Linked DNA regions of Drosophila melanogaster. The protein of the gene in region 1 interacts with the protein of each later gene in a pairwise test. Each region holds a gene or a part of one and is shown in the gene's direction. Other genes may lie near its edges. The genes, in order: CG11635 and CG18262.

Region 1 (3,428 bases):
GCTGGAATCATACAATTTGTGTTTATTCTATAATATGGTGTGATATGTTGCCATTTATTTGCCAGTGCCTGAAATATGAGCTATACCTTTCTATATGCCTTATTCTATATTTTTTTGGTTTCATTTTATCTGTGAAATGCAGAAGCATAAAAAATTATCTTAAATCTTAATAATATAATTAGTTGCAGCTGCACACACAGCGACAACAATCTCCTGGCAAATATGATTTTCCCTACTCTCCCAGTGCGCACAATTTGATTATGCCATGTCCAGCAGCTATTTTAGATTTGATTTTTCTGCACGTTTCTCAGTTTTCGCAGCGTGATGTTTTTGTTCGCAACCAAACCCCTTTTCACTCGTTGAGTATTTTTCATATTTTAATTTAAATTAGAGGGCAACACCCACTAAGCCACTCACTGGATGACGATGACTACGAGGAAGATGATGATGGCGATGGCGATGGCGATGGCGATGGCGATGGTGATGATGACGGCAGCTGCAGACAGTGGAAAGCTGGTCGTAACTCAGTCAGACACTCGCTCCGAGCTTAACGCGCTGATGTATGCTAATGAGCCGGCATTGTCGCCGGATCCGTCTGCTTCCCTTGCTCCTTGCTCATCTCTGCCTCCTGATCCTGCTCCGGACCTAACTCGATTGCCGGGGGAGGAGCTGCAGCCGGAGAGCTACCATAAATATGCATAATGCAATTAACAGCCAAATGTAATTGCAAGCCAGAACAAGGAGTAAAAAATAGAAAGAGGAAAATAAAGACAGACTGGCATTAGCAGCTGACAAACCACCCGCATGGCAGTCACTGTCCCGTCACATCACTTCACATCACATCTCTCTTGGTGAAGCATGACAGTCGCTCTGCTCCTTTGGCTTTGCATATGCCCGACTTTTCCGATTCTCTGATTTTCCGACTTTCCCGGCCTGGCCAACCTGTTCGCTCGCACACTTAATTAGGCTATTAAACAATTGCAGAACGCATGCTTGCTAGGCCTGTCTCCAACCAGTTTGCAACTCGCAGTTCCGCCTCGGTCCAATCCAAAATCCGATCCGATCCCAGCCGAATAGCATCGAATCTGCCGCGAATCTGTGCCAAATTTCGCATAGGCACTGCCTAGCCAACTTAAGGCCAAATCGAAAAACCGACAAAACTGAATAACCGTTGCGTGCCTAGGCCCAGTCAGCGTCTTTCGATTTGGCCGTGCCTGTGTCTTTACACTGGAAAAAATTGCAACCAATACGGACGAATAGTATACATTCAATACTCTTGTTACTGTTTGTTTATCATCGTGGATGGATTTATCTCGAGTTGATTATCTGAACTGAGTAGATATGCGAATTCTGGATATGTTTATTGTATTTCTTCCAGTGTGGCCTGCCTTTTCCTCCGTCTATCTGCGCGTATGGCCAACTCCGCTGGATTTACTTGACTTGGCCTGGCTGATTGGGCGCGCGTTGTTTTGCATTTCCAGGCCAGAAACAGCGGCTGCGTAATAAAATGCATTTTAATTTGGCTAAATGTTCAATTAAATTTAAACATGCGCAGTCCGCTGTTTGCAATTTTGTGTTGCCTGTCGCCGTTGCATTGAAGTTGAGTTGCAGGAGAAGTGAATGTGTGCGACAGGACCCTCTTCCGATTTTCTCCAATTTTCAACCAGCTCTTTTTCGTCCAGTAGGCCTCGATCGAAATTTCGGATACCAAGCAAAAAATTTTAATTTAGCGATTCATGTAACGGCGTTACGGTATACAAAAATTTTCAAAATTCCACTTTCATTAAAAGTTTCGGCTAATGTTTTGGTCCTCCCTACTAAGGGGCTTCAGCTCACGTCAGAGCGGCTCCTCGAATAAACCCCCAAAACCTCCAAGTCCACCGAAGCCACCATCGTCACCATCTCCACCAAAGTCTCCTTCTGCCAAACGAGAATGCAAGATCCGGACGCACTGCATTCCGGCCGCCTTCTGCGCCGAAGGGGATAAGTTCAAGTCGATGTGGGATCCGCCGAAGAACCTGCCTCCGCCGTACCCCTTCGTGGTCAGCCGATCAAATGACTTGTGCTGCGAACCCAACTGCACCAAACCACTGCCCTCATTCGACGAGCTGTATTACCGTCCCTCCTGCAAGAACGGTCCTTACCAGCGCCACTGGGTGGAGTGCCCCAAGTTCATGATCCGCAAGAAGATAATCTGCGCCTACGACAAGCTGGAGGCTCTGAGCCCCGCCCGTCGGGTGGCCGAGCGGCGCGAGCGGACAACGCTCAGTGCCACAGCCACAGGACCATGTCCCCATTTCGCTCCGTTGGCACGATGCGTGCCAGGACGTCGTCCGCCCAGATGCCACGCGGCCAAGACGCCCTCCTGCTGCCGCAGGTTGTGTGCACCGATGCCCTGCTGGTCGGATTGTAAGCAGCCTAAGCTGGCCAAGCGACCATATCGACCTCGCGAGTGCGAGTGCCGATTCCCCCTGAGCCTCTGCGAAGCGGAGCGGGGTCGTCAGTGGGTCAAAATTCATGGTGAGAACCACGTCTGTCCCAGTGCCATAAAAAAGGCCAAGAAGGCGAGAAAAGACATGCTCAAGAAGATGAAAAAGGATAAGAAGGATAAGGGCACGGATAAGAAGAAAGATAAGAACAAGGATAAAAATAAAAAATAAGTTTTAAAGGTTATGTTTATTTCTTTGGTCATTGGTGCTCTTGTATTACTCGGTTTCAGCCTCCAGAATTGTTGCTTTGTACTTGCTTTGGCCAGACTCCAGATCGATTAAAGCCTGCTTCAGAGCCATGCGCATAAGTAAGCGGGACTCGGACTCGGTCAGCTGAGCAGAAACTTTGTACCGTTCTCTATCTAAATGGATACCTGTGCCGAATTGGGGTTCCTGGTTCAACGGCTGCTCTTCAATTGACTCGGTGCTAAGGCTACTAGTAGGCTTCTTGGCAGGAACTTCGATAGTCCTAAAGGGCCTGTAGGTGTGTATGGTTTCCTTAGGCTGAGTGTCCTGCGTGTCATCAGTCTTGGGAGTATTCTCATTGGTTTTTGAAGGACTGGACTCTTGAGTATCGCCAGCAGACGCAATTTGCTCGATTTTGTGAGATTGTTTTATTAGCTCCTCCCCGAAGTCCTCATCGGAAATCGAAGACTCTGAAACTACCGAACTAGATTGATTAGTTATTTCACCGGTTAACTCAGAATCCAAAGACTGATTTGCTTCCATCTCGTGATCCAATTTAAGTTGATCGGTGATATCCCTCGTTAGTTCGGAATCAAAAGACTGGTTCGAAATCTCGCTATGATCTAGGCTCTCTACATCACCCAATCCAGATGGTTCTGAGAGCGCACTGGCTACCTCCGAATGCATAGAATCTGCAACACCTAGCTCAGATTGATGGGAACTAGCTCTATCCACTGACTGATTTGATTCCTC
Region 2 (3,921 bases), on another chromosome or scaffold:
ATCGTACAGCCGGCAGCTGCTGTCATCCGATCCAGTGGCTATGGCATCTCCGCAAGGATGGAACTTAACGCTATTCACATCCGATTGATGACCCTCGAAGGACTGAACGACATGACCAGAGCGCATGTCCCAGATGAAGGCCATGCGATCGCAACTGCCCGAGACAAAGGTGTTGCCCGTTTCGTTGGGAGCCAAATCGATGGCCATTACATCGCCGGAATGTCCGTGGAAGCTTTGCAGTAGCTGGCCCGATTCCACGTCCCACAAAGCGCATGTGGAATCGCCACTGCCCGTGAGGATTTGCTGATCGGAATTCGGATAGATGCAGCACGACATGTAGCTGGTGTGGGTGCCCACTGTGCGCTTCTTGGCGGCCATCTCCTCATCGGAGGTTATCGGATACACGGTGACCTTATTGTCTAGTCCGCCGCAGGCCACAAAATTGCCCGACGGCGCGTAGGCACAGGCCATAATCCAGGTGGTGGGCATGGTGACGGCGTGCTCCTTGTTCGTGGTGAACGCATCCCAGATGATCAGACGTCCGTCCTGCGACGAGGAGATGATGTGACGCTTGTCGGGACTCCAGTCGGTGCACAGGACCTTCGCCTGGTGGCCCTTGAGCACCTTACGCGGCTTGATGTTCACATAGGCGATCTGCTCCAGCCGCTCTGCGATGTTCGACAGATTGACGTCGTTCAGCTTCTGGCGCTCCTCCTCCAGTTTGGTCTTCAAATTCTCCGCCTCTCGCACCAAACTGGCCATCTTTTCAGTGGCATTCGCGTTCGCATTGCTCGCTGGCACCGCCGCCTCCGACATGGTTGCTCTGAGATGGCGCTTCTATGGATATCTCTCGGGGATTGTGTGTCCTATCCCGTTCGAACTTCTCCAATTGGACAGCGAAAAATCAATCCGAAAAAAAGTGTATACTCGAATACGAAAATCCGAATACACAGCGATAGGCGCGGTCGGTTATCGATAAGTTTTACCGTTGGTAAATGGCAGAATGTACCGTTACATATCCTTTATTTTCGGAGAACTTGATAAAAGATTGTGACGATGTTATTATTATTAATTTTCATCAATATGACAAGGTATTGATGAAAATTGGCGTCAAAATTTGTTAAATTTTTGTTCTGTTTTTGTTAAAAGCCGGTTTTCCGAATTTCCCTCATAAAATAATCAGTTTTTTGCCCAGAACTTTGAAAATAATTGACCAAATATGGTATGTCATATCTCGTTGAACTCGTAATGAAATTTCCAATCGAATTGCATTCAAATTTGCGAATTCAAAATTTTTCCATTTTTTTGCAAATTTTAATTTAATGTTACCCCTTAAAAAACATGAAAAATATGACACAAAAATAAATTTTTCTATGCCCGCCCAAAAGTGATAGGGTTCGTTAGTAGTGATAATTGGCTGTTCAAAACAGTTATTCTTTAAGCTGCATGATGATTTTCCGCCAAGTTATGACTAGAAACTACTTGTGATAACGAACTTATCGGAGTAAATACCATTTCAAATGTGGCGCCACAACCAAGGTAAGCTCAACACTGCGGTTCGTTAGCCAACACTACCATCAGCTGGGGAAAACCACCCTTCCCCACCCCCTTGAAACAAACACTTACAAAAAAGCGACGCCAACGGCTGGAATCCTCTGCTAATCCGGAGCCAGTTGACCGCCACTTCCACACAGGCAGACCAGGGAGCAAGCCGCGATGATCAAGGTGCAGCCACCGCCGGATGTGGCCGGTGGCTACCACAATCTGCGTTGCGGCGAGGTCTTATTCAGTGCACCCGCCTCCTACGAAGTGAGCTGCTTGCTGTGCGACCAGCGTTTGCCGTTGGACGGCTACCCGGAACACTTCCGGCTGAAACACTTCACGAACAGCTCCAGCTCGCTGTGTTCCAACGAACTGGAAAGCGATCCCATTGCCCAGGACGTCGTCGAAGTACAGGGAAATGAGGAGCTACATGAGGAACTGGCAAAGGAAGCTAGCCCGGACTTAGAGGAGGAGGAGGAGGAGAAGGAGGAAGGTTCCAAACGCCAGCATTACCAGCGTGCAGCGGCCATGAAGAACACCCTGGTGGAGACTCGCGAGGATTTGCTGGACATCGAACTCGACTGGACGGGCGGCGAGCAGTCGGAGCATAATGAAACTCACGAGGAGGAGGAGGGGGAATCGGATGATGATGACACGAAGGACAGCAACGACACGAAGGACATGCTCTTCCAATGCGATCAGTGCGACCGGGCGTACAACACCAAACGCAGCCTGCAGAGCCATCGCCGCCTAAAGCACAGCGAAGCCAACGGCGGAAGTCTGGACAAATCCGCCAGTGAACGCAATAGCAAGAAGCGGAAAGGTCCGCCGAAGGTGTACAAATGCAACGAGGAAGCCTGCAACCAGACATTTCGCACCGAACGCGATCTGCGCGGCCATCGCTGGAAGCACACGGGAATCTTCTGCGACATTTGCGGCAAACCCTTCACCCAGTCGGGCAACATGATGCGCCACCGCCAGCGACACAGTGGCATCAAGCCGCACAAGTGTCCGGAATGCGACGCGACCTTTTACACGCAAAAGGAGCTCTCCTCGCACAGTATCTGCCATACTGGTCGCATGCCCTGCATCTGCGAGGTGTGCGGACGACCTTGCCGAGATCGAGGCGTTCTCACGGCGCATATGCGTCGCCATACGGGCGAAAGGCCGGCCAAATGCGAGGTGTGCGGCAAGGCATTCTATAGCTTTCATGACCTCAATGTCCATGCTGTATCGCATACCAATTTGCGGCCCTTCGTCTGCGACGTTTGCGGCTCCACGTTTCAACGGAAGAAGGCGCTGCGGGTGCACAAGCTGCTCCACTCTGAGCAGCGCAAGTACGCGTGCAAATTGTGCGGCAAGACGTTCGCCCAGTCCGGCGGTCTAAATGCCCACATGCGCAGCCATGATCCGGCGAGAGTTAAGGGAGCTGTGAAGCCGCTGCCGCAATCGGTCACCATCGAGGTGATCGAGGGCAAGAGTCCGCCCACCACCACCATCACCATGGCCATCGACCTCAATGTGGAGGAGCAGCTGGTAAAGCAAACCGAGACTGCACCCACCACTTGGCGCCTGGCCAACTGAGTAGCTAGCTAGGATTAATATAAGGTTAGATGTAGTTCATCTATAAGTTCCAAATTGCGCCATAATAAATGAGAGAAATCAGAAGATTGGAAATGAATTAATAATCGTAAGAAACCAGAAGGCAGATGCATAAAACGATTGATTTGCGGTACAAAAGTGTCCTTTATTGGGGTTTCCTAAACGGAGAGGGTTCCAAGCTGTCAGCGATCCAAGTCCAGATGAGTCTGGGCTCTAATCCTTGCCAGCGTGTGCATTCTACCCGGGATTCTTAGCTCTAAACATGTAGTTCGTATCGCTATGGACTAAGTTAAGTATTGGGATAAAATAATACATACAGCCTTTGTTGTTTTTTTTTTTTTTTTTCCAAACGAAATTGATGATCATAAACGGAGGCTTTTGCGTTAAAGGTTAAAAAAATATATTCCCGCCCCTTCGTTGTTTTCAAAAAAGGTACATATTTTATATTCTATGCGCTGGTCGGTTCACTCATTACTAGTTTTTCGAAGCGATAAACTGAAGAATTAAAACCTAGCATAATTCTAGATGCAATATTAAGTAAACTAGTTTAAAATAGGGCTGACATTTCTGCCAAATGGACGTACTCAGTTACAAATATAGTTAAAATCAATCAAATTGACGAGAATGTTTTGAAAACTAAAGATTAATTAAGCACTGAAAATGCATTGATAAGGTATCACGGGTAAACCCAAGACCAACTAAGTTTTCCAATTATAGACCTATGTATTTACGTGATCTGCATTGACTTTTGTTCACTAGAACCAATAGTAAGTAATA

The links.
Region 2: the proteins of CG11635 (region 1) and CG18262 interact in a two-hybrid assay, tested with the Drosophila melanogaster proteins (one large-scale study listed by BioGRID).

Annotation. Positions count from the first base shown.
Region 1 is NT_033778.4:8,356,808-8,360,235, forward strand, and holds CG11635 (uncharacterized protein), read left to right. Parts: upstream 1-1,730; 5' UTR 1,731-1,799; coding exon 1,800-2,660; 3' UTR 2,661-2,665; downstream 2,666-3,428. Other genes in the region: spaw (spacewatch), read right to left, coding at 2,706-3,428.
Region 2 is NC_004354.4:8,151,328-8,155,248, forward strand, and holds CG18262 (uncharacterized protein), read left to right. Parts: upstream 1-1,620; 5' UTR 1,621-1,716; coding exon 1,717-3,126; 3' UTR 3,127-3,206; downstream 3,207-3,921. Other genes in the region: Gbeta5 (G protein beta subunit 5), read right to left, coding at 1-816.